Lonchura striata: one gene and its partners. The protein of the gene in region 3 interacts with the protein of the main gene of each other region in a biochemical or structural test. Links are inferred from orthologs where the notes say so. Each region holds a gene or a part of one and is shown on either strand. Other genes may lie near its edges. The genes, in order: FCHSD2, CRHR1, MAGI1 and NET1.

What was found.
Region 1: the proteins of MAGI1 (region 3) and FCHSD2 form a complex in vitro, tested with the Homo sapiens proteins (2 studies listed by BioGRID and IntAct, with this or other methods). The link is inferred for Lonchura striata from reciprocal best matches to the Homo sapiens genes MAGI1 and FCHSD2.
Region 2: the proteins of MAGI1 (region 3) and CRHR1 form a complex in vitro, tested with the Homo sapiens proteins (2 studies listed by BioGRID and IntAct, with this or other methods). The link is inferred for Lonchura striata from reciprocal best matches to the Homo sapiens genes MAGI1 and CRHR1.
Region 4: the proteins of MAGI1 (region 3) and NET1 form a complex in vitro, tested with the Homo sapiens proteins (3 studies listed by BioGRID and IntAct, with this or other methods). The link is inferred for Lonchura striata from reciprocal best matches to the Homo sapiens genes MAGI1 and NET1.

The regions. Positions count from the first base shown.
Region 1 is NC_134604.1:18,202,744-18,209,988, forward strand, and holds the start of FCHSD2 (F-BAR and double SH3 domains protein 2), read right to left. Parts: upstream 3,015-7,245; 5' UTR 2,881-3,014; coding exon 2,860-2,880; intron 663-2,859; coding exon 565-662; intron 1-564. UniProt on the Homo sapiens protein: Adapter protein that plays a role in endocytosis via clathrin-coated pits. Contributes to the internalization of cell surface receptors, such as integrin ITGB1 and transferrin receptor.
Region 2 is NC_134627.1:1,368,968-1,375,891, reverse strand, and holds the start of CRHR1 (corticotropin-releasing factor receptor 1), read left to right. Parts: upstream 1-3,912; 5' UTR 3,913-4,289; coding exon 4,290-4,328; intron 4,329-6,924.
Region 3 is NC_134614.1:18,543,261-18,550,705, reverse strand, and holds the start of MAGI1 (membrane-associated guanylate kinase, WW and PDZ domain-containing protein 1), read left to right. Parts: upstream 1-4,445; coding exon 4,446-4,731; intron 4,732-7,445. UniProt on the Homo sapiens protein: Plays a role in coupling actin fibers to cell junctions in endothelial cells, via its interaction with AMOTL2 and CDH5. May regulate acid-induced ASIC3 currents by modulating its expression at the cell surface.
Region 4 is NC_134607.1:71,735,432-71,742,700, reverse strand, and holds the start of NET1 (neuroepithelial cell-transforming gene 1 protein), read right to left. Parts: upstream 3,010-7,269; 5' UTR 2,932-3,009; coding exon 2,839-2,931; intron 1-2,838. UniProt on the Homo sapiens protein: Acts as a guanine nucleotide exchange factor (GEF) for RhoA GTPase. May be involved in activation of the SAPK/JNK pathway Stimulates genotoxic stress-induced RHOB activity in breast cancer cells leading to their cell death.

The DNA of each region.
Region 1 (7,245 bases), on a different chromosome or scaffold from region 3:
TTTTGTTAAAAGCAAACCTTTAATTTCAGGAGAATCAAATCATATTAGGTAAAAGAAATAATAAAACCCCCACAACTGATGTTGTGTGGATTTTCTCTATTGTTTTGAACCCATTCAGAGTTTTAAATTATAAATGCAAATATCTTCTTGTAACTTTCTGGTAAAAAATGCAATCTGCTTGAAAGTGATTTTCAAAGCTATCTCTAGAGAGACATAAATTATCAGTGGCTTTAAAATATTTTAGTAATTTTAGCAGCCTTTTACAACTGGTAAATCAAAGTCTCAGTATATTATATAAATAAATATTGCTGAAAAGACCAATGCTTTCTGGATTGTTGTTTGTGAGTTTCTTTTAACATTTCCCCCATTGAAGAAAAGAAAAAAAAAAGGGTTTGCATTGTGTTAGCTCCAGTTATAATTTCCAGCTGTGTCAAAACTTTAACAGCCTAAAAGCAGGAAATCCAAAGAGGAAATTCCATCGTCAGTTCCTGAATTTTGTAACTCAAATGTTCTTCCAAAAACTGGACCTTAAAGGAATTTTGGTAACATTTTCTGTAGCCTTACCTGATATCTTCCAGTAGGTCACATTCTGCCTGATGCTTGGCCTGAAGTTTTGTCATCTGCTCAACCTGAACGTTTTTCAGCTCTTGTGTAACTTTTACCTACAAAAAAACCAAACAAATTCAAGGACCACTTATATTTTCTGCAGTTCCAGTCACATTTCAACAAGAAAAGAAACAAACAAGCCCAAGGATCACTTACATTTCCTGTAGTTTAAGTCACATTTCAATAAGAAAACAAACAAACAAACTGGGAAAGGCTTCAGAAGGCTGGCTTTACATTTTTAGTACTACTGTAGTTTTCCTTTGAGCCTTGTGATCAAAATTCCAATACTTTGGGATCATCCAAAATTCCAATACTTTGGGAACCTGCTTGGTAACTGGCAAGGAGCACCAATGGCACAGGTATAGGATTTGGTTTTGGAAGGTAACCTTGGAATTGTTTTGTTCTTGTTTTTTTATTAAACAAGAGGTCTTGATATTTAAGCCCTCTAGTGATCACAGGGAATCCACATATCGGCCTAAAAAATGACCACAAATATCTCTGAAGACATTATGAATTCATGAGGATAGAAGTGCCAAACCATTACTGCAGAGGGATGAGAAATTAACAGAGGAAGAGGGCACCCATCTCACTCTTCTTCACTAGCCAGGCAAAAAAAAAGAAATCCTGAATCTCATCAGCTTCTCTATTTTAACTCTGAAAACCATGCCTCAGCAACAAGCACCCTTTAATGACAACATCACATAAAGACAAATTTTTCACATGACACCAGAAAAATAAATCACATGTATGTCTCTGACTTTAAGCAGAAAAAAATGTCTATTTTTAATGTGAACTTTCAGCATTTTTGGTTTTATCTGTGTATTAAAAAAAAGCCCAACTCAAAATAAATAAATCCACACGACACAAACCAGGTAATGGAAATAATCGCAAATGAAATAGTACAGGCAAAGAACGACAAACATGTAAAATAAATAAACTAAAATTGAAATAATTGAAATGAAATTGGTTTTGTTTGACAAAATCAGAGTCTGCTCCTAAAATAAGAGGCTGAGAAGCAGGAATGAGAGACCTTCATTGCAGCTGCCTGCCAGGGCTACTGGGGAGCTCTGGGCATGACAAGGGAATCCTGTTCATGTTCCCTCCTCTCCTGGTCACTGTTGCAGGGCTTTGCCAGGAGCAGAACTGTCCCCACAGAGAAATCCCACCGAAAATCTCCACGGGGCTGCAACCATCACAGCCAGAGCATCCCCAAGCGGGCAGGACCGCGGACATGGAACAGGCACAGGTCTCAGCCCCACGGAACCCCTGCCCGCACAGCAGCAGCCTCTCCATCCTCTGCAGCTCTGCCTTCTCCCTGCAGCCCCACATTCCGCGCAACCCCCAGAACGTGCCCAAAAATCACCCCGGAGCAACTCAAGGCAGCTCAGGTCTCCCAGATACCAACCTGCCCAGCCAGACAAGGCACAGCGGGCACATCCTCTATCCCAAATTTCCATTCCCGCTTGCCTCCGCTCCCGCACCAGTCCCCCCGCCGGGCAGCAGCCCACATTGCCAGGGACCGCAGGGTCACCGAAGAGCCTCCCCGGAGCATCGGCATGTTGTTCCCCATCGCACGTGGGAACGCGCGTGGAAATGCTGCACAATTCCGCCTGCCCCTGCTCCTGTGTGCTCCTGGCACACGCCGGGACAGGCTGCGTCCCTGGATCAACTCCAGACGTGACCTCCTTCCCCAAGACAACCAACCCCTCGTTGCTGGCACCGACGCACCGCGGGAGCCCCCAAAATTCCCGTGGGAGCACCCCGCAGGCAGCACGACCTCCACGCCCCCGTGCAGCCGAGCCCTCCGCAGCCGCTCACCCCTCCCTGCCCTCCGTCTCCCTTCTGCAGAGGGGGGTCCCCAAGCCCCCCTGCACCTCCATCCTCACCGGCGCGTCCCCATCCCTGCCCTGTCCTACCTCCGCAGCTCGCTCCCAACCCATCCCGCCCCTCCGTGCCCGGTCCCCAGCGCCCCCCGACATCCCCCCACGACCCACCTTGCACGGCCACCCTCGCCAAAGCCCCCCCGGCCCCCAGCTCTCCGCCGAGCCCCCCGCTCCCTTCCCAACACTCGCGCTCCCTCTCCGAAGCTTCCCGCAGCCTCCCCCGCCGCACAGCCCACCCTGCGCCCCCTCCCCGCGGCCTCGGACCCCCGAATCCCCCCGCAGCCCAAAGCACCCCGCCCCACGCCGCAACCACCGCTCGGCCGCCCCGGCCCCTCCGCAAACAGCCCCCTGCGCCGGGCGGGGGTCTCACCTTCCTCGGCGGCGGCTGCATGGTGCTGGTGCTGCGCTGGGCATCCACATCAATTCCCTCCCCCCGGCAGCAGGATGCGGCCCCCGCTGCAGGAGGAGGAGCAGCAGCAGGAGGAGGAGCGGGGAGCGACCGTCTCCCTCCCGGTTCGGGGCGAGTCCCGGTTGGCGGGAGGAGCGGGGAGGGAAGGGAGGGAGGCGGGGAGGGACGGTGGGGGGAGGCCGCCTCTTCCTTGCGGGCAGCGGAGCCGCGTCCCGGCGCTGGGGAGCGGCGAGGGGAAGGAGGCGACGGAGGGAGAGCGGGGAGAGACTTCGGGAAAAGATGTGGTGGCGGAGAAATAAAAGGAGGAAGGAAAGAGGAAAAAAAAAAAAAAAAAGAAAGAAAGAAAGGGAAAAAAAGAAAACAACAACAACAAAAAAAGAAAACAAAACCAAAAACCAACCCAAACCAAACCCGACGCAGCGAGAGGCGCGCGGCGGCCGCGCGCGCCCCCCAGCGGCCGCCCCGGGGCCTGCACAGCCCCCGGCGGCCGCCATGGCCAGGGGCGGGGCGGGAACGCCCCCGGCGCGCGCGGCGGCCGCGGGGGGGCGCCACGGGGGCGGCGGCCTGAGGGGAGGGGGCGCCGTGGGGACGCGATGGGGGCTTGGGGTGTGCACAAGGGGGTGTGTGCGGGGGCTGCGGGGTGTGCGTGTGTGCACAGTGGGGTGTGCACAAGGGGGTGTGTGCGGGGGCTGCGGGGTGTGCGTGTGTGCACAGTGGGGTGTGCACAAGGGGGTGTGTGCGGGGGCACAGTGAGGGTGCGGGGCTGTGTAGGGGGTGGACAAGGGGGCACACGAAGGGTCTGGGGTTTAGCAGAAGGAGGCACACGAAGGGTTTGGGGTTTGCACAGGGGGGCACACGAAGGGTTTGGGGTTTAGCAGAAGGAGGCACACGAAGGGTTTGGGGTTTAGCAGAAGGGGGCACACGAAGGGTTTGGGGTTTGCACAAGGGCTGCACAAAGGTGAGGGTGTTTGCACAGGGAGGGTGCAGGCTGTGCATGGGGCAGTGAAGGGGGGTGCACAGGGAGTGGTCTGGATGCTGTTGGGGTGCTCAGGGGTACAAGGAGGTTCCCAAAAGGGTGCAATGCCCTCCAAAGCACTATCCAGTGCAGGATCCACACACCGGGATTGGTGTGTAGGACACAGCTGGTGGAAATCTGGGGTTCTCCCTGGCACAAAGCAGCCATCCCCTTCTCCCCAGCACTTTCCAGGCTGCTCTAACAAAGCTGGGCAGCAAGGGCTGGACTTGAGCTGAAGCACATGAGGGAGCATCACCCCCTGACAGCAGCTGGAGAATCCCTTGATGGAGAATCCCAGATCCGGGTGCATCCCAAGGGCAGCACTCTGGGAAGCAGAGCACCCAGACACGAGCTTTTGCACGGGGTTGGTTTTAAGCAGAGGAAAATAAAATAAAACAAAGCTGAACTCTTCAGCATTGCAGATGCAGAGAGCCCAGGAGGCAGAAGTGACGCTCCCAGCTCTGTCATGTTTCACTGAGCGTGAATTAAACACCCCTGATCAGAAGTACTTTTGGGTTTTAACCCCCCTCTGCAGCACTGAAATTCCTGGCCATTGCTTATTAGTTCTGCTGCTACGAAATCTTTGAAATATTAACATGCATTTGGCTGTTTCTCTTAAGCAAATTCTGGGGCAGTTTGCAGAGCGTCAGGCAATTCCCATAATTGTATTTTCCCAAGTGCTCCAGCGTGCCGCAGCTCCATCACCAACTCCTTCATTATTGATGAGATGCTTTGCTCCAGCTCCCAGAAAATGACCCCTTGCCTTTAAAGATGCTTTAACCACCTTTAAAACTAAAATGCAACTTGAATTCTGCTTCCCCCTCCAGCTATTAGTTTATTTAGTGCTGCTAATTAGTCCTTAACGCTTTCTCCGCGGGAAGCTTGAAATGGTTGCTGAGACCTGGTGCAGCAGCAGATGCTGTGAAAAAATATTTCATCTCCTTTTTAGGGCTGCAAGGGGATGGGATCTGTGTATGCAGCCCTTCATGGAATCATGAAATGGTTTGGGCTGAAAGGGACCTTAAAGCCCATCCAGTTCCACCCCCCTGCCATGGGCAAGGACACCTTCCATTTGCCCAGGCTTTTAAAAAATCATGCCCAGACTCCTGCATGCTGGACTGAGAATTACTTTAGGTACCGGGCCTACACGCAGATGTATCATCCTCCCTTATGATGCATTTGTTTTTCCACTATTTGCTTGTATTCTTCCATGAATAATTATGTTTTATCTGTTTGACCACAGATTCCCTGAAGCCTGACTCATGGAGTGCTGCAGGTTCGGCATGAATCCTGGAGGATTTTACATCTGGGATGATAAATCCTGATGGAACTGCCTCTTGTAGCTGCCCATGGCTCTTCCACATCTTAATAATAGTGCTGATAATAGGGGAAAACAAGGATGTGAAATAAAGATTATCAAAAAGTCAATAGTATAAGTGTCTAAGTGTTGTATATTTTATCAAAATACTTGTTTTCACAGCATAAATGGAATCCAGCTTAGGCTGAGCCCTTATCCCTTGATTTCTCCTTTCGGAATGCAGGACCTGAAGGCAGTTGAGTCTCATGGAATTCCAGAATGGTTTGGGTTGGAAAGGACTCTTATGGATCATCCAGTTCCATCCCATGCCATGGCCAGAAACACCTTCCACTGGACCACTTATTATTTTATATTTTATTGACCTTTATTTTATCTTGTTTCATTTAATTTAATTCTGTTTAATTTCATTTCTTTTTATTTCATTCTATTTCATTTCATTTCATTTCATTTCATTTCATTTCATTTCATTTCATTTCATTTCATTTCATTTTATATGAAGGAGGGTGCAGAATACAGCCCCAGAGCAATACACACCTCTCAGGGAACCCCAACAGAGATGAGGCATCAAGGCTGGAAACCCCAAAAGCCAAATTCCAGCTGATGGTGACAACCCACAGCTGAAAACAGCCGCTTATTCCCTCATCCAGAATAAAAATAAAAGGAAAATAAAGAAGAATTTAGCCATAAAAGCAAAATTTGGAGAGGACCTTTAGGGAGCAGAGTTCCCTTGGTTCCCATCCTCAGGCAAAGACAACTTGTTGGATCCCAGCTCCCAAGCAGCTGCTGCGCTGTCCCGTCAGGCCTGTTCATTCTTCACATCTGAATTTAATCCCTGCAGGGGTTTAAACCTTTTCAAGCACAAACCCACGATGTGTTGGAGGGTTCTCAGCTGCCAGGACGCGCTTCCGAGTGGAATCTGGCAAGCTGGAACCCGCGCTGGGCCCGTGATTAACGCGCGAGGCAGCTCCGCTGCCAGAGCCTTGGCACAGCCACTTCTCCAGCCGTGGATTTTGCCCACAGGGCTGGCAGGAACACCCCTGGCAGAAGGGTTTGCTCACCAGTAGAGACCATGGAGGGGTCTCTCCTGCAGCACAGCAGCTTCCTCTGGAGAAATCAGCTTTTTATGTGAAATGTATGATATTTAATTGTAGCTAATATGAATGGTTAGGAATGTCATAGAATCCCAGAATGGCTTAGTTGGAACATCCTTAAAAAAAAAAAATCTCATTCCATCCCTGCAGTGGGTAGGGACACCTTCCATTACCCCAGGCTGCTCCAAGCCCCAATGTCCAACCCAGCCTTGGACACTTCCAGGGATCCACAATTTCTCTGGGCACCCTGTGCCAGGGCCTCACCACCCTCATAGCCAAGAATTCCTTCCCAATATCCCATCTATTTCCTCTGTCAGTGGAAAGCCATTCCCCCTTATCCTGTCCCTCCCTCCCTTGTTCAATGTCCCTCCCCAGCTCTCTTGTATAGGAATATTTATTTTGTATTGTGTGTGGATATATATGAATGTATAAGAATTTATTTGATATTTAAATGAATATATAAGTAATAAAAAGCTTAGTGGATATAATGATTGAGAGAGACATGCACATAGACTCATAAATTCATTTATATTGGAAAATTCATCAAATATCATATATAGATAAGAATAAAATAATGGGGAAAAAAGGAAAATCAAAAAGTGAATAAAAGTATAACAAATAAAAAATAAAGTATAAAATTATCTGAAATAATTAACCATAATCTCCATAATGTTCCCAACCACTCCCAGGAGCACGTAAAGCCAAAAATTGAGTTTGGCATTATCTGACATCCACAATTCTGTTCTGTGTGTTTCTTCCAGGCTTTCGAAGCTGATGGTGGCACTGAGCAAGGTGTTCCCAGCCTTTCTTCAAGGCCTCCACGCAGAGGAAAACTCAGGCTCCAGGCTTTCCCCACGCGGGGGTGCCATGGGGATGCGGATCACACCGCTCCTACAGCCGCGGCAAGGGGACAGGTGACACCT
Region 2 (6,924 bases), on a different chromosome or scaffold from region 3:
ATAAAACCATGGAGTTTTTCCCAACCACAAACCACTGTGATCTGTTTGATGGGAAATGCCAACTGCTGATTGGGAAATTTCAGTTGACTTTGCTTTGAATGAGAAAAATAATAATTATGACTTTTATTATGATCAGTTTAGCATTCTGCCTTGAGGTTTAATTAGCTGAAGAACAAAAGCTTTTGTGTTTCTGTTATATTCAAAACTGACACATCCTCCCAAAAGCAATTTGAAAAACATGGCAAACACTTTTGAGAAACTTGGGAAGCAAATGAGAAATTCAGTTAGATCCCAAATCTTTGTGGGTTTCCTTGAGTTTGCAGTTGCCATGTTTTTGTAAATGTGGGATCTCCTATTAATGCACACAGTGTGGGAATTAAAAATGGCAGGGGGGATTTATCCGTGTAAATGAAAGAATCAGTCACTTGCTGCATGGAGCAATGAGTCAGAGTAAACCCAGCTCCATGTGTCTGAGTTTTCCTTCTCCCAGCAGGACACTAGTTTGTCTTCCTGCATGGACTCTTCTGCATCTCCAGCAGAGTTTGACGGGACGAACAGGGGTCTGAAGTGTCCAGAGGCCACCCAAGCATTTGCAAGGCCTTCAAGAAAATCTGCCAGCACAGCTCTAAGGTAATACTCACTGAATGAGGTTGGTAACAATCTTTGGTTTCTTTCCCTGCAATGTTTTCAGCAGGGCTGTGGCTTGAGCTTTCCTGCTCTTCGTTTCAGAGCACCTGAGATTTGCAGGGGTGAAGCAGGTGATACAGAGTGGTCAAATACAACAGGGATACTCAAATATGAGGCATGATTATACTATGTGGTAAGCAGGAATGAGAGGAACCTCATCCCAGCAGCTACTTTCTTTAGTCAGGCAGAGTTTGAGAGAGTGTTCCCCTCACTGCAGGTCTAGGAGGAGGGAAAAGGACACAGGACAGAAAACCTGGAAACTAATTTTAAAAGCGGGGCAAAAAACAAGTCTCCTGGGAGAAACAATGTGGTGGGTTGGATTTTTTCTTGGCCTGCAGTTGCTAACACAGCCCCATGTGCTGACAGCCTGTCCTCCCCTGAGCAGTGCCCCGAGCATTCCCAGCTGCACTCAACCTCCTGGGAAAGAAACAGTCCCAACACACAGGTGGGGAAATTGAGGCACACTGCTGATCTCAGCTGGGATTTCAGCTGAGAAGCTAAACCTCACCTTTCCACCAAACTGGCCTAAATGTCCAGGACACTGAGGATTATTTTCTCCTACAGATGTCCTAGCTGGAAGCAAAGCCCTGCTACCAGTGCTCCATGGGAGAAGCAAGGATGCATTTCCCTGCACCCTTTCAGTGCACGGAACAGTCCCAGTCTCATCCCTATACTGCAGGAGGGACACATGGAGTTTTCCCAAACCAGGTGAAGGTTGGCTGCAGGGACAGGGTGGGAGCAGGGCAGTGGTGTAAGTCCTGCAAACAGCCCCAAAGTGCAGCTGTCATGGAGCTGCTCAGACACAGGACTGTCAAACCACATGGAGTTACATAAAATAATAGTTTACCAAAGGCAGGTAAGTCAGACTCAATCTCTCCCTCCTTCCTAGATATCCGATATTTCTCTTCATTGTCTCCATCCCTAAAAGCCATATCCAACATCTGTCTCTGCACTGCATCGAGAAGTTTGAGATTAACCGTGACAAATGGACTGATTTCTGTGTCTCAGGGACTGTTCTATTTTTCCTTTGCCACATCTGACAAGTTGCATTTTACTATAAATCCCCTCAATTAGGTGCTTTAAACAACACTGCAGCCTTTTCCCTGATATATGGGGAAGGAATTATTTTCATGTCCCTGGCAACCAATTCCTTAACTAAAAATAGTGCTCACTTCTGCCTTCCTTGCATCACCTCATACTTAGGGCACCTGAGCAGAGCATGGCCATCCTACATGTCCTTCTTGCTGGCCATGGGCAGGCTGAGATGATGAAAGACAATCCTTGGTCTTGGTGTGGGAATAAGGTCTCTTGTGCTTCCCATTGCAAGGTCCCTTCTGTCCCCTGGGTGCACAAAGCCCTGAGCAGCCTCCAAAACCAGAGTGTGTTTTGTGACCAGGAACTGTGCCCTAGACCTGTGATGGTAGAAGGTGTCCCATGGCAGGGGTTTGGAACTACATGATCTCCCAATTCAAACAATTCCATGATCCTGTGATGCCCTCAGCTGAATCCAGGATGCTCAAAATTATTTGGAGCAAGCTTTCTCAAGCCATTTGTAGAAAATTATGCATTTTCCATGGGCTTATTGAAGTGAGAGGTAACACAAGGGTGGCTCTGGAGTCTGTCTCATCCCATACTTGTCACAGGAGGGATGTTAAGATATCTCAGAAACAAAAGTTTGCTGAATTTACCAGAGATTTAAATATTTTCATATTTCTTTGTCAAAGCAGTGACACAATTGATTTAACCCAGCTAACGCCAAAAGATTTATGTCTGTGTTGTTTATTCCCCTTAATTACTGGGCCAGGAGCATTTACCCTTTGGGGGCCAGGATGGGTCACTAGGTGCCCCCACATGCTGGGACACAGCCCTGCTCAGTACTTGTGCCTTGGTCCTGCAGCTGCAGGTGCTCCAGAGACAAAGAGCAGCTCAGTAAAGATGGATAGAGGCTGTGGCCGTGAATTCATCAAGAGACTCTGCCCTTCTATTGATTTATCTGCAACCTGCTGTGGTCTGCAGCCATTCCCAGAGGCAGAGCCTGCAGCTGGGAGCACAATCCAGCACCCTGTGAGAGGCTGGTGGTAGATGAAGCGTCATCAGCTAAGGGAAATATCACACCCCTAGATGGTGGTCCCATGGCAATATTTTCCAGCATCCCCCCTCCCAGCAGTACACCTCATTGATCCTTATTTCCTCAAGGAAAGAAGGAAGCAACAATCTGTTGCCTGGCTGTCTGCCCCAGCTCACCTCAGGCTGATGGAGCTGGGCTCACTCCCAGGATACGCAGAGCACCCACAGTGGGACACCCCCCTAAACCTCAGTGAGTACAGAAGGCATGCTCTGAAACTGCCCTGGCATGGGGGAGCAGGTTTAACCCAGCCTACCAACTCAGGGATGGACACAATCCTGACCATATCAACCCCGGGACACAGGGGTGTGTGGAATCCCTCCCCAGGAGACCAGGAGATGGCTGCCAGGGAACTGCAGGAGCTGAGACACAGAGGTGTGACAGGAGACCCTTTAAAGCCAGAGGGTTATGCTAGGCGAGAAGGGACATATCATTATGCAAGACCTCAGGAGCATCATCCAGGCTCTCCCACACCACTGTTCCCCACCCTTCCCCCCCTTCTCTATCAGTTCAAACCCCACCTGCTCCTGTCCCATCACCTCTGCCCCTGCCACCAACCCAGCTTACGGGACAAAGCACGGTGCTAGCAGCACCTCCACTTCCTCCGGGTCCACCCTTGTGATCAAACATCCCTCGCACAGTCCCGCTGTGTGGAAGACCCGAGTCCACCTGCCCCACATCCCTGTTCTTCCCTCAGGAGCCTCTCCCTCGCAAGGCAGGGCTGAAACCCCTTCCACCCCATCCCTGTGGAAGAGAAAAGGGGCTCTGCCCTCCTTTCGTGCTCACCATCCGTTTTGCAAAGGGGCTGCAAAGGCTGACGGGGGGGACCTGGGAGAAACTGGGACACTTGTCCCAGTTCCTCTGACAGAGCCCTGGAGCGAAATCCCCAAATGTGTAACACCCGCTCATCCCCTCATCCCCGGCAAATGCAGCCCCAAAGCCTTCGCAGACACAAAAGAAGCCGCCAGGCTCCACAGGAGGGACCCCACAGCGTCTGCACGATGGGAGTGAGAGGGGTGGAGAGGAGAAACCCCCTCCAAGGAGAGGCGGGAGGGCGGTCCCTGGGCCGGTGGGAAGTTTCTGCTGCTGAAGATGCTGAGGGAGGGAAGGAGAAAAGGGGGGCGGGGGGGGAGAAATCAAATACAGTTGGAAGGCACCAGGGAGGTGGAGGAAGGAAAAGGGGAGGAGGAAGAGGAGGAGGAGGGAGAGAAGGGGGAGTGGGAGGCTGGTGAGGAGGGATGTAGCCCATCGCCAGGCGAGCTGGAAGGTGGGCAGCCGGAGGACCGGCTCCGAGGAGGTTATAAAAGGCAGGACCGGGACGCAGAAGGACCCGCAGCCTCCGCGCAGCCCTGCGGGACCCGCCAGGCTCCTTCGCTGGAAGCCCAGAGGATTGTCTCCCCGACGGCAGGAGCAGCCCGGCAGGAGCGGGGACGCTGCCGGCCATGCCCCGGGGAGCTGGGCGCAGGGGCAGCTGAGGATGGTGCCCAGCCTACGTCCTGCCCTCCTCCTCCTGCAGGTAAGATGCTTTAAGTCCTCTTCTCCCATAAGGGCCCTTCTGCCCCGTCCCCATCACCCCTACGCCGTGCATCGCCCGCGTTCTCCGCAGTGACTTTTCAATTTCTTTGACGGGAAAAGTAGGAAGAGAAACCGCAACACAAAGGGCCCTCGGGAGAATTCCTCCAGTCGAGGCACTGGGGTTTAGCAAGATCTCGTGATGCTCAAAGACTATCGGGGAGGGGGGCTGAAGTGAGTGAAAGGATCATTTAAAGGGGGGGAGAATCGCAGCCAGGTCCTCCTGAACTCACCCCAGGGCTCCCAGTAACTCCCAGCCTTGCACCTCCCAGTGAAAACAGCTGCCACCAGTTTCCCAGGCTGCTGGGAGCGGGTGGCCACTCTGGGCGTGTGGTGGATGTGGACAGTGCAAATGCACAGTCCAGTTGTACCTCCCATAATTAATTTTCTAAGGAACCCTCTCCTTTACTGCCCTGCACCTGCAAAGCACAACACTTTTTCTCTCTAATTTGCTTGCTGTGGAACTGTAGCCACTGCTAATTTTGCAGCTCTGCACAATATGCAAATGCTTTGTCAGAAGCAATATTCCTCCTCCTTGAGGGCTCATCAAGGAGGGAAACATTAACAGCCCCAAAGCTTGTTTAAATCCCAAGCCATGGACAAACAAGATGAAGGGTCTCCCAGTGAAATCTTGAATTTTATTTGAACAAGCCTAGAGTGGCAGTTAAACAAATTGATCAGGTTTCTGATAAAACCTCTGTGTCAAGGAGGGGTAAAAGAACAAATCTGCCTGACTGGCTGCAGAATGGTGTCTCAGTGGCCCAGCTGGGACTGCAGAGTTAAAACAGCAGGTAAAGTGGAGGGAGAGCTCTCCCCATTGTCACCACTACGGCTTGTACCCTGCAGGCTGTGCACCCCACTGTTCACTCCAATGCGTATCTCACATGTCAGCTGCACCTCTGGGCCAGGAAAGTTCTTACCTAAATGATGAAAAGAGCTGATGAGCACCAGGAGACCTCCTGCCTAGTTGGTGTTGCTTCTAAAAACTCTTCTGAGCAGCTGCTCTCTCTTATTGCTGTAACCCACTAAGCCTGATTGATAGGGTTTATGGGAGCTATTTTGCTGTTACTTTCCCTGGTTCAGGTTTTGTTGGGCTCTGATGTAAGAAATAAAGCTGACACAGGGCAGGATCTTTTCCCCCAGCCCAGGTCCTTCTTGGCCAGTCTAGCACAGACCCAGTGCAGTAAGATCATGTTCTGGTGGGGAGAGCCACGTGAACATGACAGCTCCTAATAACTTCGGTGAGCAAAAAGTGGTACAAAAGAAGCCCAGAGGTGCTGATACACAGCTTCCATCCTCTGTCAAAGCTCCTTAGGCTCAGGGGGACTCCCTTGCCATCCCCAGGTGTTCCCCAAGGATATTCTCCTTGTGAAGGTGGAGCAGCAAATCTTCACAAACCTTCCAGATTCTGAGACAAAACCATCCCTGCACTCTGGCTGGGACCAGGAGAGAGGGGTCAGAAAAACCAGACCAGACAAAGAGAAGCCTCTCCAGCTGGCTCCAAAAAGAAACAGCCAATCTACAACTACCCCCCCCCACCCCCACTTTGCAGTCAAGCTGTCTATTTTTCCTTATAAATACATGCATTCAAATCTCAGATGTTTTTCCAGAACAGTCCTAACCCTCTCTTGGGGACAGCATGAACTAAAGGACCATGAAACTCCAGCCATGAGTGCATCCCTGCAGCCAGGTATAGCTGCAGCAGCATCCTGCCTGTGAGTGCAGAGACCTGCAGCAGCCCAGCTCCAACCCAGAGCTCAGCAGGGACAAACCTCCCCTGCAGATACTGGGTTGGCACAGTTTAGGCGTTCCCCGTGCACCTGGTTTGTACCTCCACTTTAGCATCAGTTTGCCCATGTTGCTTTACTGAATAGACATCCCTCAGGATGTCGGACAGACAGACTAGGAGATAGGCAGCCAAACTTGCTGCCAAACTTGCTGCCAAGTGCTCCCTGGCACCCTTGCAAGTCATTGAAACAAACTAAAAAAGTGATTAAAAATAAACCAGTCCACTTGCATCTCTGTCAGGAGCCAATGACATTTCTGTGGCTGATAGAACTGCAAAGTGTTTTATGAAAAATCAGGGATTGATGATTTGGTTTCACTTGACCACCTCCAGCAGCAATAAGCCCAAAAACAACCCCTGCTCCTTCCATGCTTGAATCCTTGCATAAAATGCAGAGCTGCAGTTGCAGGACATGCTGACCCTGGGGATCTCTTCCAGTCCTTGCTTTCCTTAAAAGCTGGAGTTGATTCAGTGTGTATGAAATCATCCCTGTGGTTCTGCATCTCCAGCAAAGAAGTGAATGGAAAAGGCACAGCCTGTTCCCAGAATAGCTGCACTATCACCACAGGATGTATAGGAATACAATGAGAATATCCTGCACCACCAGCTCAACCCTGCCCTGAAATCCAGCTCTGCTCCCAAAATCCTGCACAGGGTTAGCCTAGAAGTTCATTGTGAGTGACAAGCTCAAGCTGCAATTGAGTCTGCAGTGCTTAGAGAGGCTGCATCCATGGATTTGTCTGTGAGAACAGTT
Region 3 (7,445 bases):
ATAAATTGTAGAGGAAGGTGACATGAAGTCCCACTAAGGGGTGAATTTCCTTTTTCTTCCCAGCATCCTGTGGTCACATTCACTTTGAGCCAGCAGCCCTGGATGGAGCTCCAGCCACCCTGCTGCAAGAGGCTGGAAATGCCCTACACAGGGGCTGCATTTTGGGATGGACTTTGCTGGCCCAGCTCTGTCCCTGAGCAGGACCTGTCTGTGCTGGCTGGTCAGTAGCTTTCACCAGAGCTTCTCATGTCCTGACACTTGGAAGGTTTGCTGTAAATACAGGGTTTGTTCAGTACCTGGAGCTGGGTTATCTGCTGAAATGTTTGCCAGGGCCAGGACTCAAAGCAGCACCAGCCCATCTCCTCCTTGCTACCAGAGAGCAGCACCAGCCTGTTGAGAAAGCCTGGATGCTGCGAAGAAAATTCTCCTCCAGTAAAAGTTAAGTGGGATTAATATAAAAAAATTCTTGTTTGGGAAATAACCACAATACATGGCTTTTCTACTAACATATTCTGGTAGTGTGAGTGTGCCCACAGGAAACTTCAATCAATGTTTGAGAGACTGGATCTTGTTTAAAAACTTTCTCTTTTTTTTTTTTTTTTTTTTTTTTTCCAGGATTTATATGCTGAGGTCTTCAAAGCCTTGAGGCCCATGATATCAAAGGTTTGGGGTTTATCTGGAAATTAACAGTAATTCTGCTGTATTAAATAAGCTGTACTTTCATTTGTACTCTTAATCATTGTCATCTTTATGCTCTCTGGTGGGAGTACATGGCTGTGAACTGCCATAAACCCACAACATTCTCAGTGACTAGACATGGTTTTCCATTCCAAAAAAAGTCAAACTGTGGTTTCCTCAAGTTTCAGTAGGAAAGCTGAGAGAATGAGTTGATGCATGGGAGAGCTTTGACCCATTTTAGAATCCAGGACACAGCACGAAATTTCAGAGACGTTTGAGACCAAGACCATGGGTCAGTATCCTATTTGAAAGAACCATTTGAGCTGTTGTATGTTTGTAGCAGGGCCCAAAGCATGCAGAGCACCTGCTGAAGGAGGAAGAAAGCAGCAGCCTTCTCATCCTGACAAATTAGCAGCTGCCAATGCATGGGTTGGAGTGGCTGTAGAAAAAAGAGTAAGGGAATCAGGCTCTGGTTAAAGGCCTGAGCCCACCCAAGTCAGTTTTCACAGCGCTGTCCTGGGCTGTGGGCTGGTGAAGAGCATGCAGACCTGCATGAGATGAGGCTGGACCAGCTGCTGCAGGTGAAGTAGGATGGCTGCAGTGAGCCATTCTCAGATGAGGAGTGTGCCCTGAGCTTCTCCCTGCCCCATGTTCATGTTCAGCTGTTCCCCAGGTGGGTGTGTCTGAAGATTCCTTAATTACTCTTTGTGAAGTGCTTAGAGACCCTCACAAAAAGGAGAGTGTCATTATGAGAACTGCAGTTGTCAGAGATGAAGACAGTCTGTTAATCATTAAATCCATCCCCTGCAAAGCAGGACCACTGTCCCTGGGAGAGAGGCCAAGCTCTGCAATGAGAGGCAGTGCCAGGTTTGTATGCAGTAATCACCCAATTATCCATCAGCTGGTGTCAGGGACCCTTCTGGGCAGGAGCAGCCAGGCTCAGTTCTGTTAAAGGCTGACCAAGAGCTTCCTTTAATAGAGGTGGTTGGAGCAGCTGTGCCCTGAAATAATCTCCTTGCAGCAGTAAGGTGCAGTACAGTCACACAGCAATCAGGACAACAAAAAACCTTGGCTGTATTTGAGCTGATATAAGCAGTGCCAGCTTCCAGATTGACCACCTGGATGCAACAAGGTGATAAAATGGTAGAAAAGTGGTCCAGGATAAAAATTGAAGTGAAAATCTGAAAATCAAGATGAAGTTCTGGCTGAGAGTTGCCGGTTTTGTTAATTGTCAGCAAGAACAATTTTGGGAACACAGTGGCCCAGACATGGGTACAGTGTTAGGATTACAATGGGGACAGCTCACTTTCATTACAGTTGCAGTGTTTGTAAGCAAACTGAAAAGGGCCCTTGGAAGTCTGTCATCTCATAAATTTTACTATCAAAACTTGTTTTTCCAAACAGTCTTTTCCAAAAATTTTTCCATGAGGCATGAGTAGTTCCGTAAGATCTATTCAGGGCAACCACAGCTCATGTGATGTTCACATGGAACCCAGATGATTTTTAGCTTAGCAGGGCTGTCACATAAGACATCCTGCAAAATGATGATGAAAATACGTCACACCCAGCTCTGGGCTGTGAACAAGGGGCTCCCTGCACCATGAGCTCACGTGTGTGACACAACTATCACCCAGTGCACAGATGAAAGAGAAAGCCTTCCCCACAAGCTATGCTGCTGTTCTGTAGGGTCTACAGACCTCTGGAGCATTTCTTGCCCAGGGGATCCAGCCTGATGACCTATCCACTCTTTACTGGTGAAGGCACAGTAAAAAGCGTGCTGTCATCCTAAAAGTGACAAATGGGGCAGCTGGTTACTGAGCCAGCAAAAGCAGATGTGAGGCAGTTACTGCTGCTCAAACATAAGGGATCAGCACAGCTTTAAGGATGAAAACATATATGAAAGTTCCAAATGGAAAGAAACCTCTTGGAAGCAAGTGAGGGCTAGACACAGCAGGTACACTGAACTTCACGAGTCCACTTCTACCCGGGAAGGCAGGCTCTGCCTCTCGGTTGGAAGGACTTTCCTGAGCTCTGTAATCCCATCTGCTTCCCGTGGGCAGAGGTGCCTGAGGCACAGGGGATGGAGCGGGGTCACTGCTGTGCTGTGTGACACTGGCCGAGCCTTCCATTCCCGTGCCGGGATGTGGCTGCGCCACTCGGGCCGGGGACTGCGCTCCCGCGGCGGCAGAGCAGCGTCCGCAGCGATGGAGTTCTACAGGACAGCCAGATGAGGGATTGCAGCTGGGGAAAGGAGCATGGAATGCAGGAGGTGAGGGAAGCACAGGCGTCCCAGCTCCATCCGGGACAGGTGCGAGGGCAGGGAAAGAATCCCGGTCACCTCTGAGCTCTGTGCGCTGAGCCGGCTGATCAGCTGGGCCAGCATCAGACGATGTTAGGCTGAGCTGTTTCCCCACGCAGCGATGCTCCCCGAGCCTGCCGCCCCTCCCGCATCCCGGATCTCCGCGGGACACGCTCGGCTGGGGGGATGAGCGATGAAAGAGCGAGGCGGGCAGCAGTGAAAGTCTGCGGGCTGTGCTGTCTGAGCACACATCAGTGCAGCACAGGCAGCCAGACCAGACTCTTTGTTTCCCTGTGTCACTCCTCAGTCCCGATTAGCGGCAAAATAGGGCACGCACACGTCTGACAAGTGAATTCCGCGCTGGAAGGGGTTCGGTCATGCATAAGACTGCTGGAAATGAGGCCTGGCTTTCAGGTTTGGAAGCATGGAGCATGACCTGGAAGGGACAGCTGGTACGTGCACTCTTACTTTCCCGTTTTGAGTTTTGCACCAGTTCTGGGTAACTTTGAAGAGTTTTGGCGAAGGACAAACAAATGGATGCCCATCCCTTTCTCCAGCAGCCAGACCTCGCTATTAGTCTGTCCCAGCTTCTAAACAACGAGGACAGGACAATGTGAAAACATTATTAATGTCTCAAATTCGAGCACTCAATCAAAAACCGGAGTGCAGAACTAAGAGTAGGAGAGACTCACTCAGCCTCGCGCAAGCACTTTGATACCATTTTAATGATGGGCTTGTGCAAGTTTCTCCTCGGGATTTGTATTTGCGTCCTCTCCTGTAACAACCACCTGGAAAGCGCAGGTAAGAAGTGGTTTGCAACTGGGAAAATCCTAGAAATCCTCTCGGGAAAGCAAAGATCTGCCGTCCCCTGCAATATGAGCATCCCCGGGGGCGCGGGGCAGAGCACCCGCGCTCCGGCCCGGCTCGGAGAACGAGGATTCCAGGCGGGGGGCTCCCCCTCGGCGCGGCCCGAGGGGCCCGGCGGCCGCTTCCCCCCGCGGGGAAGTTGTGCGCGGGAGCGGGCGGAGCCGGGGCCGCCGGCCGGGCCGTGCCGGGGGCGGGGAGCGGGCGGGGGCCGGGCCGTGCCGGGGCGGGCCGTGCCAGGGCGCCTGCGCCGGCGGCGCGGAGCGCGGCGGAGCGGGACGGACCGAACTGGAACAAAACAAACGCCGCTTTGTATCGCCCCAAAGGCTCCGCGCCCCGCGCAGCGCCCGCGGAGAGGGGGCGGCAACACCGCGCGGCTGCCGGATTTGCTTTTTCGGCGCTTTTGAATAATTTTTAATTTTAATTTTTTTTTTTTCTTAATAAGAGGGGAGAAGGGACGGCGCGGAGGGGCGGGCGGGGGGCGGTGCGCGCCCTCCGCGGGCGCGGAGCCGTGCGGGCGGTGATGGCCTGAGCGGGCGGCGGGTCCGCGCCCCCTGCGCACCTGCCGAGCGCGCTCCGCGGGCGCGGAGGGACGCGCAGCGCCATGTCGCGGGTCGTGCAGAAGAAGAACCACTGGTCCAGCCGGGTGCGGCAGTGCGCGCTGACCCGCGGGCCCGGCGGGCAGCTGGGCTTCGCCCTGCTCGGCGGCGCGGAGCACGGCGAGTTCCCGTACGCGGGCGCGGCGGCGGGGGACGGCGAGGCGGCGCTGAGCGAGGGCGAGCTGCTGCTGGAGGTGCAGGGGGTCCGCGTGTCGGGGCTGCCGCGCTACGACGTGCTGGAAGTGATCCGGAGCTGCAAGGACCCCGTCGTGGTGAAAGCCGTCCGACAAGGTGCGAGGGGGACGAGGGGGGACCCGCGGCGCTGGGTGGCCGGGGGTGGCGAGCATCAGCCCCTCGGGGCGGACGGAGCCGCGGGTGCCGGTGCACCCACGCGTGTGCGCAGCTTCTGCGAGGGCACTGATGCACAGGCACCTCCTCGTCCGGAGCCGGCTGCAGCCGCCCCGCAGTCCCTGCCCTGCGCTAAGCGCAGCGAGCAATTGCGTGAGACTTTCCCAAAGGCGCCGCGGAGCTGCCGGCGCTCCCTGCGGGAACCCCGCGCTTGTCCGGGGGAGCTCGGTGTCCGGCTGACCCTTGGAGAGGCTGAGGGAGCTTCACTGCTGGGGGAATGGGGAGGGATCCCCTCCTCCAGCAGCTGAGCATCCTTTGGAGCTGCTGAGCTTGTTCCGAAAGTGCAGCGTGTGTTTGCCGGCTGCCAGCGTGGGAAGAAAAAGCTTGGACCCTCCTGCATCTTCCCTCTCTGGCTGAAAGGCTACTCGGATTTACCTTTCTTCCCCCTGGTTTACCCTAGGTGAGGGCACATCCGTGCTGCCAGCCCTGCAGCGCACAGGGGAAGGAACAGATAGGTAGCTCTCCTGTTTGGCTGAGGAAGAGGATAGGAAGAGTGCTCCCATGCTGGATTTAAAAGATGCCACTCCACATCCGTGTACACTCCACAGTCGCTCAACAGGTTAGCTAACAGGCCTGGCTAATGGGTTTGTGATTTCCAGGACAGGACTTCAATGTAGTGCCAAAAAGCTGTTGGTGCTGCGGCAGCCACCGAGGCTGGTTGGACCAGGAGGAGCAGGACTGCAGCTGGACAGCCGGAGCTGTGAGAGCTGCAGGAGCTCCCCGAGGTCAGCTCCAAGTGCAGGAAGGAAGGGAAGTTTTCTTCGTGTTGCCCGAGAGATTCCTTAGGGGAAAGTTTGTCATCCAGACGTGTGCATCCTAAAGGTGGGGGTTTCGCTCTGGCTTGTGGTGCGAGGGGTTTTTTTCCCTGTACTTCGTTCAACCCAGCTGGTAGCTGCAGACAGAATTTCTGGCCAGCTGGCAGGACTGTCACCTGAAGTCTTGTCCCTGGGCTCACGGGTGAGCTGAGATGAAGGGCTGCAGGCACTTGTTTCATCCCTGGAACCTCCGGAGCGAGCAGATGACAGCGATGGAGTCGGAGAGGAGCTGAGGCTGAGCACTGCCCTCCACCACCTGCCCGGAGCTGAGCCACCAAAGCACAGCGATTTGTTAGTCCCTTGCAGGACTCAGCAGCAACATTCCAGCAAACGCTGTCAAACTTCCAAAATACCCAGTTTTTCTTAAAAAAATGCCTGTTTTCCCTGCTGCCTTCACTCCACTGGGAAGTGGTGAGGGAAACTCAGCCTGCTGGTTTCCCTGCCCAAGCAGGAGGGGGAGAAAAGCATGAAGAAAAGTATGAGGAAATTAGGCAGAGGTTTTTTTACATACTGATTGTTTTAGCAGAAGTATTAAAGTACAGCTTGTGGTGTTGCAATGTGATCTGTGTTTGTGGAAGGAAGGTGTGTGTAAAACCCTTCCCAACCAAACAATTTGTGATCAAACTTTTTGCTGTTTTGGAAACATGAGTTAGTATAAATAAAACATGTCCTGGGAATAAACTGCACATGGCAGAACTTGGTGGTAAATGTGTCTCTGCTCCAGGATATGGTCAAAAGAACGGGCAGAGAGCTGAGTTTTAGTGTGTTGGTTGGGTTTACCTGGAAAGTGGGAGAAAAGGGTTCAAAAGGGTTGTAAGTCAGGGCAGGCACTTAAACCTTGGACTATTCCCATCTAGAGCTGAGAACCAAGCCCTTGGTTACTGTGGGATTGTAGTTTCTTTTTTTTTTTTTTTTCTTTCTCCATATTTTTAAGAAATAGTTTATTAGCCAAGAATGTGGAATATAAATAAATATTTGGTTTTTAAATCTCTAAACATTTTTGTGGTCTGGAAAACCTGTCAATGGTAGCCTGGCATCTGCACGCTGCTCTGTGCAAAGCAGGGATCTCCCTCATGTATCAGAATTATAAGCATAGAAAAGGAGAGTATTTTAATTAAAATTCATTACTTCTGTGTTGATTAAAAATCTGATTATGGCAATGGCAACTGTCAATCAACAGGAAAAGTGTGGCACTAGAGCAGACAGCCAAGGAGTGTGCAGATAAGATTGTAAACAAGTTTTTAACTATGATTTTCCTCCTCCGAGTTTGTAGTTTCTAACTGATTGGTGCTGAAGTGCTGGGGCAATATTAGCCTGGAAATGTATACATTTTATTGCCTGTCTGTTTTGTATGACATTTACAAGGCTGGAAAAACAGGAAATTTACTATAAGTCACTCCTTTGCAAGCATGAGCAGGAAAATAACGGTTCTGACCTTGCTGTTGGTGAAAGAGACTAGGATGGAAATGTAGGTTGAATAGGCTGTGCATGGACTTTATCATTAAACCAGAGTATGTAAAATTACAGGTTCACGTACAACATTTTCTTCTTGCTTTTGTGAGTGGTAAGTTTAAAAAATAAGTGCAAAAAGGAGGAACCTCTATGAAATCTCTTAATGGAAATACTGGTGTTTAATACTGGACATATGGGATTTCTTGGTCCTTTGCTTACCCTGGGAGGAAGAGTGAAGAAGGTTAAAGAACTTGAATGGAGCTTTCCCTTCCTTTTCCCCTTATGCTCCCTTTTTTGCTTTGACATTTGAGAATAAAGCTGTGCCATTAT
Region 4 (7,269 bases), on a different chromosome or scaffold from region 3:
TCTCTTAAAAGAGGAGAAAAAAAAATAATAATAACTAAATTCCCGCTTTGTGCCTGAGCGCTCCTCAGACACGGCCCGACTGCCAAAAAAAAATAAAAAAAAAACCCCATCTGGTGGTTTTTGTCCTGCTGAAGGTGGTTTGATCCAGAGCAGGGAGGAGGAAAATCAACCCCCTGTGCTGGAAGCTGCCCTCGGCTGAGCTCTGCGCTTCAGCCCGGGGTCACGGGCTCATGCTGCGGATAACTCGGGCTCAGGAGGGGCTTTTTTATAGCTCTGTACTGGCAAACAATGACTCTCCTGTCTCCACGCCTCACAGGAGCCAGATTACAATAAAGTCTGGGAGGTTTCTGAAACAATCCACGGGTGTTACAGCACTCGCAAATTATTAAAAGCCCAGCGGGGTCAACAGCTCCATCAGGAAATATGGTTTTTTCCAGAGAACTCTTTATTTAAAGTGAATTAATACATCCACAAAAGCTATTTTCGTGCCAGGAGAGATTTCACACCCCTGAAATCCCTTCAAGTGCTTCTAAGTGCAGGTTAACTCATGAAAAGATTGCACCTTGCTGGAAAGAAAACCGGGCTGTACTTTTGAGCAAGGATATTTTTTTTTTTCTCTCCGGCAGCACGCCCACAACCTTTCCCCTGTGCTGGGTAATAATTAAGTGGTTATAATAGTGGGTAATAATTAGTGGTTTTTACAAGGATCCCTTGCTCGAGTGCAATTCCTACGTGCGGCACACAGTTCACACCAGCCCCACACAAACACGGTGAGCAATGGCAAAACCACGCGTGACGAAAAGTTTTCCTACCCAGCCAATTCAGCAAAAATGGCATTTTAGTCAGCAGCCTGAATAATTCCTGCCAGAAATCACCGACCACCTGACCACCTCCATGGCACGGGGGCTTGCCGAGCCTCAGGCTGAACCATCAGACCTTTCCCAAACCCAACAGCCCATTCCCGAGTGGACTGCGGCTCGGACAGAGGTGTTGGCTCCCTTTCAGAATTCACAATTCGAGGCGATTGACTCCCCAGCCCAGAGCTCTGCTTTCTGTTATTTCTCCCCCAACATCTGGTTTCCCTTTTGCACAATGAGATTGCCCAAGTTTGGCTGTCGCCAAGCCGGGATTTGCTGAGGTTGGTGACTCGGCGCTGAGCCCTCGAACCTCAGCATGTCTGGAAACGCCTTTTTTTTCTTTCTTTTTTTTTTTTTTTAAACTTTTCCACCTCATCTCGCCACTAAGCTGAGCAATAAACCCAGCCCAAGGCAGCCGGGCCCTACCTGGCTGCTGAACTTTTGCTCCTGTCGCAATTATTGCCACCTGCAATAACGCCACGCCATAAAAACAACAATACTGCCATCCAACAAACCAGCCCCGCAAACCCCACCAGGGCTTTTGCGAAGGTTTAAGCAGCAAAACAAACAGCACCTAATTAAGAAAAATCCTGTCAGTGGAAAGAGCGCTGAGAGGCGAGCGACTTTTTAATGGAAAGAGGCGATTTCCAAATGAAAACAGGCGAATTTTTAATGAAAAGGCACCTGGGGGGGAGCGGGGTCAGGTGAGACACCGAGATTGGTTTTGGCTCAGGCTTTGGGGGCTGTGAGCTTAAATATATACATATACCTATCTATCTATATATCTGTAACGTATATATATGTGTACAAAGTGTATACATATGCATATAAAAAGATACGGACATATACATGGATTTAAACATATATACAGTTTATAAATCGCCGGGTGAGGCACCGACGCCTGGTCCCAGTCACTGGGGGCTGTGAGCTTAACCATACCGAAACAATAATTAATTAATTAATTAATTAAATAAATAAATAAACAAACAAACACGGTTCTGGCTGCCTGGTCCCAGTCTTTGGGGGCTGTGAGCTTAACCATACCGAAACAATAATTAATTAAATAAATAAATAAACAAACAAACAAACAAACAAACACGGTTCTGGCTGCCTGGTCCCAGTCTTTGGGGGCTGTGAGCTTAACCATACCCAATAAATAAATAAATAAATAAATAAATAAATAAATAAGGTTCTGGCTGCCTGGTCCCAGTCTTTGGGGGCTGTGAGCTTAACCATACCGAATAAATAAATAAATAAATAAATAAATAAATAAATAAATAAAGTTCTGGCTGCCTGGTCCCAGTCTTTGGGGGCTGTGAGCTTAACCATATCGAATAAATAAATAAATAAATAAATAAATAAAGTTCTGGCTGCCTGGTCCCAGTCTTTGGGGGCTGTGAGCTTAACCATACCGAATAAATAAATAAATAAATAAATAAATAAACAAACAAATAAATAAAGTTCTGGCTGCCTGGTCCCAGTCTTTGGGGGCTGTGAGCTTAACCATACCGAATAAATAAATAAATAAATAAACAAACAAATAAATAAATAAATATGGTTCTGGCTGCCTGGTCCCAGTCATTGGGGGCTGTGAGCTTAACCATACCGAATAAATAAATAAATAAATAAACAAACAAATAAATAAATAAATATGGTTCTGGCTGCCTGGTCCCAGTCATTGGGGGCTGTGAGCTTAACCATACCGAATAAATAAATAAATAAATAAATAATGCCTGGTCCCAGTCTTTGGGGGCTGTGAGCTTAACCATACCGAATAAATAAATAAATAAATAAAGCCAGCCACATAAAATATAAGTATACACAGAGATGGAGTTCAACATGGATATGTAGAGATAGTTTTTTGAACCGCTGGCTGCCCCGCGCTCTGCCCGCCTCGCCCCCTCCCCTCAGGCGCGAAGCTGAGGGGGCTCCCCCTCCCCACTCTCCCATTCCCGCCCCTCTGCAGCCCCGTCCCGCTCACCTCCTGCTCCCTGAAGTGCTGGTTCTGCGCGTCGATGACGCGGATAGTCCTTTTGATGGGCAGCAGCCCGCCGAGCTCGTCGTGCGCCACCATGGCCGCGGCAGCGCCCGACCCGCCCTCAGCCCGCGCTCATCGCGCTCTGCGCGCGGCGCGCGCCGCGGCCCGGGGGTCACCGCGGGGGGCGGGGCCACCGCGGCGAGCCACGCCCCCTCAGCGACAAAGGCCACGCCCCCTCAATGGCAAAGCATTGACCCCTCCGCGCTAAGCCACGCCCCCTTCACGCTAAACCACGTCAATCAATGCCAAAGCCACGCCCCCTCCACACTAAACCACGTCAATGCCAAAGCCCCCCCCCACACGAAACCACGTCAATCAATGCCAAGGCCACGCCCCCTCCACACTAAACCACGTCCATCAAGGCCAAAACCACGCCCCCTCCACACTAATCCACGTCCATCAATGCCAAAGCCACGCCCCCTCCACACTAAACCACGCCCCTCAACGCCAAAGCCACGCCCCCTCCACAACAACAATCAATGCCAAAGCCACGCCCCTCCACACTAAACCACACCCCTCAATACCAAAGCAACGCAAATCAATGTCAAAGCCACGCCCCCTCCACACTAAACCACGTCAATCAATGCCAAAGCCACGCCCCCTCCACACTATAACACGTCCATAAATGCCAAAGCCACGCCCCCTCCACGTAAAACCACGTCCCTCAACGCCAAAGCCACGCCCCCTCCACACTAAACACGTCAATCAATGCCAAAGCCACGCCCCCTCAACACTAAACCACGCCCCTCAATAACAAAGCCACGCCCCCTCAACACCAAAACCACGTCCATCAATGCCAAAGCCACGCCCCCTCCACACTAAACCACGCCCCTCAATAACAAAGCCACGCCCCCTCAACACCAAAACCACGTCCATCAATGCCAAAGCCACGCCCCCCGCGGCACTGCGGACCCTCCCGGAGCCCCAAATTCGTGTGGAATTCTCCCAAAAAAACCTCTCCCCCCAAAAAAATGCTCCTGCTCGTTCCTCTGAGTGCTGCGTGCAGCTGTGGCTGCTCAGGACAGGAGGGATGTGGGGATGGCTCAGGGCTTGCAGCATCTCCGTGCCCAGGAGGGGCAGAGGGGACATGGCTGAGGGATCCCATCCATGGGGATCCACATCCACAGGGAGCTTCCAGAGGATGGAGCAGCTCTGCTCCGGGCCCAGCGCTGGCACCAGGGGAACGGGCAGGGGCTGAGCCCAGGAATTCCCCTGGATGTGGGGCAGAACTCACAGAATGACTGAGCTGGGAGAGAGCTCCAGGAGCATCGAGATCCTGGCACCCAGTGCCACATCCAGGCTTTTCAAACACATCCAGGCCTGGTGACTCCACCACCTCCCCGGGCAGCCATCCCAGAGCTTCATCACCTTTCTGGAAAAGCTTTTTCCTGCTCTCCCACCTGAATTTCCCTGGGCACAGCTTGAGGCTGTGTGCTCTGGTTGTGTCAGGGCTGCCTGGAGCCAGAGCCCCAGCCCAGCTGGGCACAGGCACCTTCCAGGAGCTGTGGGAGCGATGGGGCCAGCCCTGAGTCTCCTTTTCTCCAGGCTGAGCACCCCCAGCTCCCTCAGCCCCTCTCCCTCGGGATGTGCTGAGCTCTCAATGTCCTTCCCAAAGTGAGGGGCAGAACTTCTGCCCTGGGCAGGGCCCGAGTCCCTCCCTGGGGACATTCCCGAGGCACCGGACCCTGCCCTGTGCCCTGGGATGAGTGGCACCGTCACCCCCTGGGCTCCTTTCCAGCCTCACCCATCCCGGGATTCTGTGAAAAACGGCACCAGGAGACTCTGCTGCAAGGAGGGCAAAGACTCTGTCCCATCCCACAAAGCCAAGCATATCTTTGATTTTTTTCCCCCCCTCATTTTTAGCGTTTTTTTCCTGGCACTTCCAGCCTGGCGGGACAACCTCCTTTTAACAGCAGCTCTCCTTGCCAACGCTGGAGTATATAAAACCTTTGCTGCTGCAAAATGTTTTTTAAAAAAATAATAATAATTCGTGTCTAGACCTGTGCTTTTAAGTGTGCTCTGAGCTTTAAAGCTGTGCTGGCACAGCTCTGGGGCTGGGCTGAGCCTCTCCCCCCGTCTCCCAGGGGAGCCTGTCTCGGCAGGCCTGGCTGGAGCTGCAAAGGGTTTGGATTTTCTATTTTCTGTTTGTTTGCTCAAGTCCTTTTATTCCTGGCACTGCTGCAAACCTCTGAAATAAAAGCTTGCTTGTGCTGGTAAAAATAAACTTGATTTGGCTGCCTACCTGTGCTGACCAAGCTGCCGCTTCAAGGGGAGAAATTTGGGCTGGGTTCCAGCAGGAGGTTTGCAAACAGCGATTTTTTATTTATTTTTTGTTTTCAGAGTCAGGAGGAAGAGAAAAAGGAAAATCCTGCTGTCCCCTCCCCTGGATTTCTCATTTTTGGCTTTGTTTGCTTCTCTCAGCAAATCTGCAGCCACTTAACCTCTGCCATGCACTGCTGGGACATGGAGGACTCCCAGAAATTCAGGATCCACCGAGTCTGCACTTGCTGAAAGGACGGACTGACTCTTCCGGACACAAAAACGCTTTCCTGAATTACCGAAATCCGCTATTTTTAACCCCAAAGAGCAGACGAGCCCTCCCTCGAATCGATGTTTTTTTAGAGGTTAAAATTTCTCCTAAAACCCGAGCTCCGAGCCGTGTCAAACTCAGGCCGAAGGTTCGGGAGTTCTCCTGCTGTGTCCCCGGGTGCCAAAGCTCCTCCTGCTGCCACCCCAGCAGCTTGGTGGCACTTGGTGGCACTTGGTGGCACTTGGTGGCGCGGGGTTGAGCTGTCCTCGGTGATCCCTGGCTCTGTGGTGACACCTGGGCAGGTGAGGGTGACACGCTCCTGGATGGTGGGGCCAGGCAGAGGGGTTGGTGTCCTGGGACGTGCCCTGCCTTTGGAGAGGGCCTGGGAGCCACCAACGCGCCCAGGAGCCGGGCCACTCCGGGGTGGGATGGTGTCTGGGGGGCAGGTGGATCTCTACAGGTCATCAATGACAGTTTTGGGGAAAATCTGTCCTGAGCGGTGGAGATGAGCGCCATAAACCCACCCAAGGGATGGAGATAAACACCAAACATCCATCCCAAGGGATGGAGATGAGCACCATAAACCCACCCAAGGGATGGAGATAAACACCAAACATCCATCCCAAGGGATGGAGATAAACACCAAACATCCATCCCAAGGGATGGAGATGAGCACCATAAACCCATCCAAGGCATGGAGATAAACACCAAACATCCATCCCAAGGGATGGAGATAAACACCAAACATCCATCCCAAGGGATGGAGATGAGCGCCATAAACCCACCCAAGGGATGGAGATAAACACCAAACATCCATCCCAAGGGATGGAGATAAACACCAAACATCCATCCCAAGGGATGGAGATGAGCACCAAACATCCATCCCAAGGGATGGAGATGATCACAAATCCACCCAAGGCATGGAGATAAACACCAAACATCCATCCCAAGGGATGGAGATGAGCACCATAAACCCGTCCAAGGGATGGAGATAAACACCAAACATCCATCCCAAGGGATGGACATGATCACAAATCCATCCAAGGGATGGAGATAAACACCAAACATCCATCCCAAGGGATGGAGATAAACACCAAACATCCATCCCAAGGGATGGAGATGATCATAAACCCATCTCAAGGGATGGAGATAAACACCAAACATCCATCCCAAGGGATGGAGATGATCACAAATCCACCCAAGGCATGGAGATAAACACCAAACATCCATCCCAAGGGATGGAGATGAGCACCAAACATCCATCCCAAGGGATGGAGATGAGCGCCATAAACCCACCCAAGGGATGGAGATAAACACCAAACATCCATCCCAAGGGATGGAGATAAACACCAAACATCCATCCCAAGGGATGGAGATGAGCACCAAACATCCATCCCAAGGGATGGAGATGATCACAAATCCACCCAAGGCATGGAGATAAACACCAAACATCCATCCCAAGGGATGGAGATGAGCACCATAAACCCGTCCAAGGGATGGAGATAAACACCAAACATCCATCCCAAGGGATGGACATGATCACAAATCCATCCAAGGGATGGAGATAAACACCAAACATCCATCCCAAGGGATGGAGATAAACACCAAACATCCATCCCAAGGGATGGAGATGATCATAAACCCATCTCAAGGGATGGAGATAAACACCAAACATCCATCCCAAGGGATGGAGATGATCATAAACCCATCCAAGGGATGGAGATAAACACCAAACATCCATCCCAAGGGATGGAGATGAGCACAAACCCATCCCAAGGGATGGAGATGATCACAAACCCATCCCAAGGGATGGAGATAAACACCAAACATCCATCCCAAGGGAT